Mytilus edulis: one gene and its partner. The protein of the gene in region 2 purifies or fractionates together with the protein of the main gene of each other region. This does not show direct contact. Links are inferred from orthologs where the notes say so. Each region holds a gene or a part of one and is shown on either strand. Other genes may lie near its edges.

What was found. The genes of interacting proteins can lie anywhere in the genome.
Region 1: the proteins of transcriptional coactivator YAP1-A-like (region 2) and large ribosomal subunit protein uL11-like purify together in Homo sapiens (affinity purification with mass spectrometry, with the first as the bait; 3 studies listed by BioGRID). This does not show direct contact. The link is inferred for Mytilus edulis from reciprocal best matches to the Homo sapiens genes YAP1 and RPL12.

What each region holds. Positions count from the first base shown.
Region 1 is NC_092350.1:443,104-450,198, reverse strand, and holds the start of large ribosomal subunit protein uL11-like, read left to right. Parts: upstream 1-4,076; 5' UTR 4,077-4,201; coding exon of another isoform or gene 4,202-4,238; intron 4,239-7,095.
Region 2 is NC_092346.1:52,558,683-52,566,200, reverse strand, and holds the start of transcriptional coactivator YAP1-A-like, read left to right. Parts: upstream 1-4,491; 5' UTR 4,492-5,013; coding exon 5,014-5,453; intron 5,454-7,518. UniProt on the Homo sapiens protein: Transcriptional regulator with dual roles as a coactivator and corepressor. Critical downstream regulatory target in the Hippo signaling pathway, crucial for organ size control and tumor suppression by restricting proliferation and promoting apoptosis.

The sequences.
Region 1 (7,095 bases), on a different chromosome or scaffold from region 2:
GAAATATAATTTTCAAATTTAAGTTCTGTTTTGAATAATTTATAACATAAACCTTTTGATGATTGATTTACATTTGCAAACCATTCTTGTTTAAACTGATCTTTTAACTTTAATTTGTTCAATACTTAATACAATTCATTTTTTTGAGATACAATCTTGATTTTGCCAAATGTTTGACATACCACAATTATCAAAAATACTTTTGATAAATAACAACCATTTGTTTTCAATTCCATACTTATTATAATTAATATATATCAACTTATATAACATTGACGAAATCTTGTTATCAAGTGTGTTATCAAGAAGGTTGCACCAAAATTTTATCATCCGTAATTTAATGTATAAAGAAATCGGATATCTTCCCAATTCCCCGTAAACCATAAAATTCGGAGTCGATCTTTTTAACCGTAAAACATGCTTACAAAAACTCAAATGTACTCTTTCTAAAATGTCAAGATTTTCGTATCCCCAGATTTCGGCCTCATATAAGAATATAGGTAAAACAGCTTTGTCAAACATATCGAGCTGGCATTCTATAGATAGATGGTTTGATCTACACTTCTTAATAACACAATACATAGCTCTAGTAGCTTGATCTCTAAGATATTTTCTAGTTGCAAAAAAAGATGCAGTTCTAGTTGCTGACATCTATAGATTGGATGAAATTGGCTGATTGGGCTGTTATAATTGGTTCTTTTGTTCAGATTTCGATTAGAACTGTATTTATTGATCGAAATATTCGACGAGGACATTTCCAGAGGAGTCGACTAAGTAATTCACTTGATACTGACAAAATCCCAAGAAGAAAAAAAATAACATTTTAATTAGACAAAACTTTATACATTTGCAATTGTAGCCACTGATATAAGGTAAAGGTAGACAATAGGGCCCAGGACAGGAATCGAACAAATTCTTTTCATTGTGTTCCAGTAAGCATATTATATTTGTTCTGTACTGCTTCTAGATGTAATAATGATTTTTTTATTATCAAAACTTTGATGTTTTTCATTTGTATCAGAAATCGAAGTCTGACAAACTGCATTATTTGGGACCTGACTCCAAAGTAACTTGATTTATTCTCAGGATTTATTAAGCAATTCAATTCAATTCAATTCTTTAGTTCAAATGGTTTGACAAAAAGGTGCAAAAGAATCCAAACTGAGGGAAATAAATTTCCCTCTCAAATTTTTACGTTAAATTAAGATGTAAATATATATAGAGGATTACCTAGTGTTAAACAATTCCCCTTTAAAGTCATAAGTAACCTAATTACTTTCAAAAACATGAAACAACAAATACAATAAAAACATTTATTAGGCGCCTAATGAAATGAATTCACACAACACAATAGTTCAATACTATTCAATAAACAAATTTAAGAATGACCAATATAGATATTCAAAAATTGTTAATACATAAGAGAGGGGGGGCAAGGGGTTTAACTGTTATGCTGTTATGGGGCAATTTAATTCTCTGTTATCTGTTATTTTGAAAATATATTTGCTGTTAGCTGTTATTGTCTTATTCTTTGTTAGCTGTTATTGGGCTTTTAGTTTTTTTGTTATCTGTTATTGTGATAATGTATTTGCTGTTAACTGTTATTGAAAATTGGAATGTTAGCATTTTTTTTGACAGTCAATATTCGGTATAAATTGAAGATCATTGGCCATTGAGGTCTACCACTACTAATATGTTTGTCCCGTATTCAGAGAAGGATTCCATTAACATATACCCATCACAGAAGTGAGGTCCAGGACAATTCAAGTATATCTTATGATTATCCTTTTCAATAAATTCCATTTTTTTTTTATGAATGTGTATTTAGAATTATCTTATTTTTTTTTGCATGAGAATAATGTTCCTTGTTTTCCGTACGAACATATTAAATTAAAACAATTCTTAATATGACAAAAAGGAAAACATATGGCCAGGAATATCTGACAAGGATCTCAATTAAGGACTAGGTCCTAACAACCACTTAACCTTTTATATAATATGGTACATAGACACAGCTCTGTGATTCTTTTCAAAGCAGAACCAAATGCATTGTACAATGAAAGTTCCAACCATGTACTTGGGTCCGAAGCTGCACATAACTCATTACAAACAAAGATTTATTTCGTTTCAAGCCATTGTTTCCCTACTAAACTATGTATTCTACTTACTAGTACACTTGGTACAATCAACAACCTCAGCTGATAAAAAATTGTTCAAATAAGGCCTTTGAAAATAGTGGAATAAATTGCTTTTAGAGTGTCAAAAAGTACTTGATAAATTGCATGCTTATAATTGGTGCTTTTGATTTTTTTACCCTATATACCACTTTGCCTCATAGTTTTATTAAGAAAAATTCACACACCCCATTAAATGGTCATTTAGAAAAAGTCAGAATATTCAAACTCTTTTAGGTCACTTTTTTGATTAGCAACAAAGGGAGCTTCAGTCAATATATATAAACAATACACCAACGTTTCATGAGAACTGCTGAAAACATTTTTGTGTTAATGTCACCCCTTTTTAATTAATGAAACCCGTTCACTCGGAAACGTAAAATCTAAAATTTATAAAAATTGAAAGTTATCTCATGTTAATAGATATAAACAATTCACCAAAATTCCTTGCTTTGTGAAAGCATTTTTGAGATATTATCAGAAAATTGAAAAAAAAACCAACATCTTTATTGAATAAAAACCCATTACCCAGAAACTTAAAATCTAAAATTTATGAAAAAAAAAGGGAGCTCACGTCAATAGATATAAACAATTTCCCAAAGTTTAATGCAAATGGTTAAAGAGTTTTTTGAGTTAATGTCCGACATGTTGACAACAGACGGACAACAGTATACCATAATACGTTCCGTAAACGAGCGTATAAAAAATATTATAATATATTGAGTAGTAATTTAAACACATTCTAGATAGATAAATTAATACTAAAAACATAGTCATAAAAAATGGAATGCATTACAAAGGATTATATCTGTAATAAGAAATACTGATTTGTCAAAGACTGAATAATTTTAATATTTCATTTACTGTTATCTGTTTTTGACCATTTTAATTCCTTGTTATCTGTTATGAGCCAAATCAATTTGCTGTTTTGCTGTTATTGGGACCCCCCTTGCCCCCCCTCATAAGAATTAACCCTAAACCAGTAGAGAAAATATAGAAATACCCAAAAGTAAAAATGGGCACGGGTGGGCGGGTTAAAAAATGTTCTCAAAACTACCAAAATGTGTTGATCGACGCTTCAACTCAAATTTCAAAAATAATATATAATAAGAACTAAGTGTTTACCGTGTGAAAGCAAATCTTTGAGTGATGTAAAAAGGTATGTAATTTAACAGGTAAACGAAAGTGAGTAGAATTCAACTAACAAACCAATAAAAAAAAGTTATGACAAATTCAGTATGCCGAAAAGAATATAGCATTTAAATAAATAAATTCCTTAGGAACAGAAAAATAATAACTCTAGCAAAAATATAAATTTCTTTCTCAGTAATTAATCATTTTTGTCGAAATAAAAATTTCCACAAATTCAAAAAATAATGCACATGTTTTTGTTATAACTCAATCATTAGTTTTCAATATAAATCAAACTTATGTACATATACTTTTTCTGAAGAAAACACCTTAATTTGTTCATATATTTACAAGAAGTTAACGTTATTTTAATTGCTTGCTTCAAGGAAGCAATTCCCCGACATATCCATGTTTTTTTGTTGATTGTTTACAAACAGGTGACAATCGTTAAACTTCGGCTTCAAAACACAATTATACCTGCCATATTTTCACAACAACCATGACAACACTGACCGATTGTAAAAAATTGACGATTATACGCAATTTATGCGAAAAAAATGATAAAATCGTGCACAGAAGACTAAGTTTATGATGTTTGTATGCATTGGTTCGAGAATAGGAATAACATTATTTTTCACCGGTCACTCATTTCATATGACTTTAATAAAAAAAATGTTCACATGTTGAAGAACGTCGTTGTTTATAACGTAAGATTACTCATAAAGGTATTTGGACATATCATTTATTTCGTCACGGGAAATAAACTTTCTACTTCCTCTTTTACTTTCATTTTGAAGACGGTGTGGTGCAACCTTTTTGGTCGTGTCTATATCCAGACTCATCCAACATCATTACCGTCGTAAATTAATTCTAAGTTGATAGAATAATAAACAAACATGCCTCCTAAATTCGATCCAACCGCAATTACAGTTGGTAAGCTTCTTATTCCAAATACATTTGCTTTCATATTGACGTGTAACCAAAAAAAAAAAAATTGCAATGGTACATGTAATTTTATAGTGACTGTGTACAGGTCCAGAATTGAATCTGTACTGAACGGGTTTTATGATCTGGTTTACGGGACGTATTAGCCTAATATTTAATACCATTGTCCGTCTGTCCGTACATCGTCAACCTGTTCAAATTATAACTGAACTTCAAACGCTAGAACCAATTCGATTGACACTTTTGGTGAAATCCCTGAATTGTATATATTTACTGACGCGAGCTCCCTTTCGATTTTTATAAATTTTACTTTCAAGTTGTGCGAGTTTATTCATTAAAAAAAGGGGGTGGGATTTTCCAGTGTTGAGACAATAACTCAAAAATGATTTCAGCAGTTTCCATGAAACTTTCGTGTTACCCTCGAGAATTGTGTATATGTATTGACGCAAGTTTCCTTTTGTTTATTCATGTTTTACGTTTTGGAGTTGTGTGATTTTATTCTTAGAAAAAAAACCGAATTTTCCAGTTTTCACACAATGTTTTTATCCGCAGTTATCATGAAACTTTGTAGTCCAAATACAAATGTAATTATGACGTCTGGCAAGGCTATTTTAATTTTTTTCTGGTCTTAGGAAGGCGTCCCAGAAAAAAATTAAAATAGCCTTGCCAGAAGTCCTGATTATTTGGACTAGAAACTTTAATTGGTGACTGGTTTTTATCTACTTAAATAACCTCCCTTGAGTTTATCATAATTTCTGATATGACATTGACACGAAGAGGTAATGGTGAGACTAGATTCTGTCATTGCATTCGAAACTATACATTGTTGCTCTTATGATCTTATAAAGTTGACTCTTTAAGGTTCCACTAAGGTCAAAATATAGGACACTACAGAAACATCAAAACTTGCCTGTATTTACATGTAACAACCTAAAATGAATAAAATCCTAAACTATAAAAACATGTTCATTTAAACATTCTTAACATATACACATTGTGTAAATTGTAAATAAACTTGAAATTTTTGTCGTGTAAAACCGGTTTTGGGGGGTGAACACTTGATTTTCCAAAAAATCTGGAGACCTGTGAGATGACTTAATTCGTTTCCAATTCGTATGAACGAATACTGTTACAAGCTAAATGTTAATTATATAATTTGTCACAGAAATATTGTTTGATGACATTTTTGTCCAATTTCTGTATTGTTTTGGTATTCGTTCACTTTAATAATAGATTCATGAAATTAACTGAAACTCGTTAATCAATTCATTTTCCTAAAAAACAAACACTACATTTGTAGCTTGTACTGCATTACATGTAACAGTATTAGTTCATACCAATTTTAATTATATAAACACATTTAAGACATTTCACAGGTCTCCAGATTTTTTGAAAAATTAAGTGAACATTCACCCCCCAAAACCGGTTTTACATGACACAAAAATTTAGTTTATTTACAATTTTCTTAATGTGTACATGTACATGTTAAGTATGTTTAAATGAACATATGTTCCCATAGTATCAGAGTTTTAGAAGATGTCTTATCAGACAGACAGACAGAATATTTTATTATAGTGTCGCATACCAATACAACAATATCGTACATCATAATATTAGTATAAAAATACAAATAAAAATTTAAATCTAAGTTAAAATATCGGTATCCAGCCATGACTGACTTATGATGAGACACTTTTGCTTTAAAACTTATTCTAACATTCATTACAAATGAATAAAAAAAAACTTTTAAATTACATTGAAAAAAACAAAAAAAATACTGTACACAATATTTTCTGCGATTAAACATAAAATATAAGGATTTTGCTAAAAAGGGTTGTATACAGTCATGTGATATCAGAAAAATAAATTTATCACTGAACTAGTATACATTTTTGTTTAGGGGCCAGCTGAAGGCTGTAAAGTTATTTTCTGTTTGGTCAGGTTGTCTTTATGACGCATAGATTCAGCATAACAAAACCTATATGTCACAGATATTTAGGAAGGCTTGACTCGTATGTCAACATGGTGCATCATCCATATGGTGAATACCTTAGAAATGTGAAAAACAAACTCCAAAACAGGATATAATAGAACAATTTACTAATCGAAAATGGTGTCCACCACACAAAGTGACCATATAGAAATGTAAACAATTGAAACACCTGATAAAGTCACACCTGAGCCTCAGAGGGAACCTGAAATTTACATTCATAGTTGAACCATGCAAAAATATAATACATAATATCTTCTGAAAAAATAGTTAAGATTAAAATTATAGCAATAAACTAACTTATAATTGTTACATACATATATAAATACCAATTTACCACAATTTGGTATTTAGTTTATATTGTTTTATCATGACGAGATAAAGAGCAAGTTTGTTTTTTGTGTCGGTCTGATAATTTTGTGCAGAGTTATAGCCCTTGGACTTTGAAAATTCACAAAAATATCAGTTTCCTCACTTTTTTGTCATGCTTGAAGATATTGTTTTGATATTTGTTTAATATATAGTTTACACAATGACAAGTTAAAGGTCAAGTTAGCATTTTGTTCCAGTACAATTAATTTTAAACAATATGGTATCAGACTACTATAAATTGCCTTGGGTAATTTGCAGTGATTTTAAATTGATGTGAATTGGTTATAATATAGTCTAAAATTGGAAGATTAAACATGAATGCAAAAAAAACCAGAACACTATTTTTAATAGTTAACATTGAAGCACTTTACTGGATTTACTTTCACCAGGAACACTAAATGAGGGGGGACAATACATGTTAACACCTCGATTTTGGCAAAAACAGTTAACAAATATACATAATTGCTGAGAACAGTTAACACA
Region 2 (7,518 bases):
TAATGGCCATATTCCTGACTTGGTACAGGACATTTTTTAAAAGAAAAAAAATGGTGGGTTGAACCTGGTTTTGTGGCATGCCAAACCTCCCGCTTTAATGGCAATGTTAAATATAATATTAAAATGACAACATAACATTACAGGACTACAATGCAAATAAATAGGAGAACATATTGGACAAAGAAACACACGAATAATAGCTAACAAAAGGCAACAGGTTTAAATTTTAATACGCCAGAAGTGCGTTTCGTCCAGACAAAACTAACTTGTGACACCCAGATACAAAAGTTTGAAAGCCAAAACAAGTACAAAGCTAAACAGCACTGAGAACCAAAAGTTCTAAAAAGTTGTCCCCAATACGGCTAGGATTTTCTGCTTGTGATAAAAACATCCTTATTATTTAGAATAATTTATACTTTTGCAAACAGTAAATTTTATAAAATTACTATATATTAGATATACATGAAATAACTAAAGTATTAACTAATTACAGAAAAAAACCGGATACATTACACAAACCAACATAATCTAACACAAAAAAATACACACTCGAGTAAGTCAAAGCCTAAACGCAAAAAGTGACGTCAATGACTAATACTATTTCTCAAAACTAATAGAAACTCGTTTAAATCCAATCCGTTATCCGAAAGATAGACAGAGTTTCGAAATAGCTCTAGTGAAGATGGCCGATATTTAGTACTCTTCTCGACTAATAATGCAGGGGATTCAACCTTTCATTTGTCTAACGATATTGTATTACTAGTACTTGGTTTGTCATTGCGTTATTTTTAAAGTATCAGAGACATCAACGACGAGTTTCAGAGACAATTGCGACTCAACAAACACGCCATCAAGATCACCATTGATAGAACTAGTTTTAGCAAGAACTATCAAGTAGACTTCAACGAGTGCTAGGTGCCAGTACTAGGACTCGAACACAAAATACATGCATGAAAGGACAACCAACAATTGTACAGAGCCTGATGCAAGGTCAGTTCAACAAGTTACAACAAGCGACCAAAACGGTAGTACGACCAGCACACATTAGTCGCATGTCAATTTGATTGGGAAACACAAGATGTTACTCACCAAGCAACAGATATAAAAATTGGCAAAATATTGAAGAATGAAATATGAGGTATATCATAAGGAATAAGTGTAAGACAGCTGAAACAAAATATTCAAAAGGAATGTGGTTTATTAATCATATTGGCAGGTTTTCCTATCGTGTTTGGTGTGAAGACAATGTGTGTTGCGTGATGGCTTGAGGTAACAGGGGTCAGTCTGTATCTTATCCCAGGTAGACATTAGAACGATCTATACCTGCAAAATGGCAGACGATTCTACAATAGTCGGGGGTTTATTTTATGTCCCAGCAGTTGAGAACGTTCCATTTTTAGGTATGCTCATATATATATATAGGCTGTATAACTAACTTGTCAACACTGAGGTTGTCAGTCCGAACCCCGCACGTGACAGATTCCAATCTGAATTTACTAGGACTGTTAGTTTTCCTGCCAAAGGTCGTATGTTCTCTCCTGCTGAAGGTCGTAGGTTCTCTCCTGCCAATCTGGCTTCTTTCGTCAATAAAAACTGTCCGCCACGAAATAGCCAATAGTGCTGACAGTGGTGTTAACTTGAGGCCTAGTAATCAATCAAATAATCACTTTAGGCTGTATTCAGTATGGTTTTGAATGACAACGACATCAGCAAAGCAGAATTTGCAGGCGTCGTCAGATGCTTACCTTTTTACTACGATGAAAAACAAAAACTGTAACAACTTCAACTACATTAATCTCGAGAACATTAATCGCATCTGCGATGTTGTTTGGAACGTATTGCGTTAAGCCTATATTCAATCCAGTATTCTGGATTCAAAATGGTCTCAATTTGGTTTAGATATGCACATGATCTGCTCGCTACCAACCAACTTTCTAGTTAGTGTCTAGGAAAAATCATCATATATAGTATAGTTACAATGATTTTTTTTCAGATTTTCCGTCATCCTATTTCGATTTATTCACAAATGGGCCAAATAAAACGAGTGGATGATATTGTTGGGTGTCTACGTTCATCATACCGTCACATAACTGTGATGGCTTGTGCTGTTGGTTGATGTCTGTATTTTGTCATTTATGCTGGAAAATTCCCGATGAATGAGTTAATTGAAAAATCGGACAAATTCTATTGTCACGATTTATTTTATTCTATAGGAGGCTTTGTAAACAAGAGCAATACAAAACGGTACGTGTGAGACATAAAATGAATAAAACTATTGTTTGTAAACACTTAAAGTACTTCAAGTAGCACTTTCGGTTAAGTGCCCACTTTTAAAGAGTTTCCGGAATTGGTGGTTGTGAGATTATTCAAGTGAACTATCCGGCAATTCAGTGATTGAGTTTGAAAGACCTTGTAAACCTGATCTCCTGTGTTGTTTTATCAAGTCAAAGGTGGGTAATTTCCCCTACGGTTTGTTGATAGCTATAAGGGTGATTTCACTACTCTGTAAAAATGCACCAACATATAAAAAATAACTGATGTTCCAAACAAATGCTCGATTCAATAATTTTATGATTGTAAAGCAGTATCCACTAAAATTTAGTAACACCATCTTCAAGTTATTTACTTAATTTCCTTCGAAGTACAGTGTATCTTTTCGTAATAATGAACGGTTTTATATGTGTGCAATGCATACTTAAAATGTAACTCCAGTTTTACATAGACATTATAAATTTTAGACAGAGCGGGTATTTTCTTTTTCAAACTGGTCTTCAACATGATACCCTAAGGTAGTGTGCTATCATCATGGCAGGCAAATGCATGAAACTGAACTGAACTGAAAATATTGCTAGTCATTTATATGTGTGAAGTTCCAGGAACACAGCTGAATGCCGCTGGACACTTAAGGCACGTGCCTACCGTGACAATTTTTTTCACAAACATTTATTTATTAAAAAATGAAGTTGTCAAAACTTTTTAAAATTAATTAAATGTCAAGTATTACATTAGACTCTGGGTTATAGGATAGAATGTAATGTATATTATATTCCAGCTTAAATAGACACTAAAAACTAACTTTAGATAATTTCACTTTTTTTTTTAACAAATACTAATGAACCTCAACATGATCCATAACCTGACAATACATTTTATTTATTAGTTGTTATTGGTTTTCAACAAACTGTTCACTAGCTTGGTCTTCTTTCAATCGGTAGTAAAAACCTTTGCTAAAGTTGGGGGTTCGTTTGGCTGTATATAATGTATAAATATACGCAGTCACGTCCCACTGCACGTCCGGTAATATGGGACATTAAATCCGATGCCTCTTGTAGAGATAGTGGCAATACGCTAGATATGAACGTTAAGAATCCTCGTAGCAACTCTTTGTTGGGTTAGGTGGCCTGTTGAAAGGCAATATGTGTGTCCCTACCCAATTAATTAACTCTCATTTGTCCGTCTGTTACGTCCGTCTACATTTCACAATAACCCAAATTTGCTATAACTATGATACTAGATAGACGGAAGAAAACCCCCTATTAATTTAAAAAAAAAATGGCTATGATTCCCAGAGTTACGGTACTTTAACAGCCATTGTTAACATATTGCGCAGTATGCTTGAGTTTATTCCTCATAAACTTTACACTATTGCTTAGATTTGAAGCTCCCTTTCGATGTATTTTATTTTATTCCAGGATTTGCCTTTCCAAAGATACGGGACTTGAACCATCTGAATTGAAGCAAACAAACTCTATGCCTGGATTGATTGCCTAGATTTATTTCCTGAAAAGTAGTTGGGGTATTAAAGGCTTCTCATAAACTTTATATTATTGTTTGGATTGATAAAATGAAGATCCCTTTCGATTTTTTTTTCTATTTCATGGTTTTCCGACGTTCTAAAAGTTACTGGACTTGGTCCATTTGAAATTAAGTAAATTTTGCACATACAGGATCATACAGCGTTCAAACTCAAGTGTGCCTGGATTGATTTACTCAAATATAGTTGGCAATTTTCCGGCCGTTTTAAATTACTTTTGTTTGATTTTCTAGTGTTATTTCCAATTTTCTACTCGGTGTTAATGTTTAATCTTTTGAAAGAGGGTCGACTTGTTGTTACTTTTTCAGCGTTCTGCGTTTTTCTTTAAAAAACTTGAATATGACTCAGATATAACAAATTTGGATAAAGATGCTGATAAGAATAAAAAAAAAAGAATATTTCAGATTTTCTGTCAGCTATGAATAATATATGTCTAACGCCTTTCTGTGTTAAAGTTATTGTAAAAAAGTAGTAAAAGTAGTAATTTTAAAGAATGATTCACCATTTGAAGTCCCCACCCACGCAGTAAAATTCAACTGAACTACTTATCAAAACTCGGCCATTGATTGATTGACATATTCACAATAAAACAAGCCCCTTATAAGGATTAATGGGCCTATCAAGGGGAATCTAAGCATCGATTATTATTTGAAAAAGGGTTAATGTCATAATTATTTACATACAAATAAAAAAATTATATTTCATCTTTACATGTAATACTTTTATATCACTATGTCAAAAATTGTTTACAAAGTATACTATGTAGTTTGTCACCATTGACATAATTTCCTATGACGTCACAAGGTGCTAAAACATACGCAATTCACATCGGTAGTGTTGTCGTACAACTTAAGATTTAGAATGTCAATAAGGAAAAAAACTAAAAAAATATCCCTTTTTAACCATTATCAACAAACCAAGTATTGAATATTCATCATCAACTTAAGATTGATTAAAATAACCCATAGTTTATAATGCACTATTTCGTCCCGCGGATGAGGGGAACCTGTTAAACCTGGTTGTGACCAGTCATAGGGTTAATTTTCGTAAAACTTCAATGGTGTCCGACAAGAAGAAAAGTTCTCAGGAAATCTTCAAGGATATGTAACTAGTTTCGCTTACTCTAGAAATGTTTTTGTCTTAGCTGAGTAGGATAATTTTCGGTTTTTAGTGTTGTGATTTTCATAAATTTCGTCAAAATGTCCCAACAGTCGGATTTATCGCAGCGTAAAGGTAATCAGGTGATACACGTCCGGGACAACAGTGGGAACGAACTCGATGAATTATTTAATGCTGCCATGAACCCGGCCCGCTCGGGCCAAACTGGACAAGTGCCTATGAAAATGCGTAATTTCCCAGCTTCTTTTTTTACACCACCAAACTCTCAACAATCGGGTCATTCAAAACAAGGTAGTAACGATTCAACAGGTTATGGACCTAATATAATTGCACCTCCAGTGCATACCAGGGCGCATTCATCACCTGCAAGTTTGCAGCCATTATCCACTATTCCACAAAATCCTCCACAGCATCAACATGCAAGGCAACATTCATGTGACTCAATGTTAGACAACGAACCCCCTCTGCCTCAAGGTTGGGAAAAGGCAAGAACTCCAGACGGACAACTTTACTATATAAAGTGAGTAAAATTATAAAACTACATGTACATATGTATGCATTATTCATAAAAGTCATTAGTGTTCTACTATACAGTCAGTGAATATGTTTTTACTAATTTCTGTTTTTGTTTGCAAATTTAGAAATGGGTAAGTAGATTACTTTTTCAGGTGTAACCAGATTAAAAGAGCTGAGGCTCAAGAAAGGAATAAAACAGAAAGGGCAAAAGAAAATTACAGAGAATATATATTTATATGTTATTGTGTTTCTTATGCACTTACAAATTATTTGTTGTGTTTTTTTTTATATATAAATTTCACGACTTCAAATGTAAACAAACTAGTTCCTCTCTGTAAATGGGTAGCTATATAGCTAATTGTCAATATTGCCTGCAAAATTGCATTATTATTATTATGGCCAGGTCATGGAGGAGGCAGTAATTGGTGTTGATTCAACACTTTTACTGTTCTCGAGTTATGCCCCTTTATAATGTTATATGGAAGCTGGACATCATCTATGTCGGACCATGGACTTATTCTGCATTTATTTCCTCTTTGAAATGTCCAGAAAAAACTATTTTACATTTGTATTAATTCCGCAAGTGTCCAGAAACAGTATTAATTGCTAGACATGACCCAATCAGAAAGGTCAGTGATTGAAAATTAAATTAAATTAGGTCACAAAATTTTCATTATAACAGAAATAATTTTTATCAGTTCATTGGAATCTAGCTTTTTAAATTTCCAATTTGCCAAAAAAAAAAAAAAAAAATAGTCAATACTTTTCCGCTATCTATTTAAATTGTGGTTCCATAAAACTGACACACAGACTCTGCCAGTTATACATGTAGTATTATAATCAGAAGGACCTTCTTAAATTAATTACCATATAAAGCCTCCCCAGATGCAAAATGATTTTATGGCAATTTAAAGGATTCAAACAATATTCATTTACATCATGTACATTTTTATTCAAATACTTTTACAGAAAATAAAATTAGAAAATACGAAAATTGCCTGCCATTTGCTAAACAGATTATAATGTTATATTACAAATGTACATGTATGGTCAGATCGTATATTTTCATGCATGTACATATAGGTCATATATGATTTTGTACTACAGATGCTTTTTCAATAGAAATTGTGATGTCATAATGCATTCCTACATGTAATGGCACCAAAACGCATAGTACGAGGATAATCCAGAATCCTAGTAATTTGTGAAAGTAATAAGCATGATAAGCTCTGCTAACAACAAATAACAAAATAAAAAAAAATATTGAAGATCAACTTTCATATCAATGTAGTTCAAATTTCATACACAAGATCTAGACTGGCAATTTAATTCTCCTGTATCTCATCTACAATGTATATTCTTTAGAACCACAGACTACATGATATGTACAATGTACATGTACATGTAACTGCAACTAATAGATAAGTTGTATCACTGGTACCAGGCCTTAGGATTTGGATTGTGGAATTAAGAGTGCGGCTGCCTTGTCACTAATTTCATGCTTCAGCATGCAGTAAGAAAAACTGCTATTGCTCAAGATAGGGACTTCATTGGCCAAATAGTCTAAGGCTAAACAGCTTTGACTGTAGTGTAAGTGTTCCCTTCTACTGTCTAACTAGCCAGTGCCTGTCAACACTGATGTTGTGAGTTTGAATCCTACACATGGCAGGTGTGCATGACTCCATTTTTGATCAAATTGAATCTTTTTTTTTTGGTCGAATGTCAGTGATTCTGTCTAGGCTCTCAGGCTTACTCCACTAATAATGAACCGACCACCACAAAATATCCGTTAGTGCTGAAAGGGGTGTTTTTCACCATATGCATTATATCAATCAATATTCATCCAGATCATGATGTACATATACATGTATGCATGTTCACCTGAATATGAAAAAAAAAACAAAACTGCAGACAATGATACATTATACAATTGACATGAAGTTCCTTGTACATGTATATATATATATATTTTTGTACTTTTAAAAGTCTTATTATTTAGAAGTGTGGGAAAAGTGGGTTTGTTGCACTTTAAATTTTGTCTTTACCAGTAACCTACATGTACATGCATG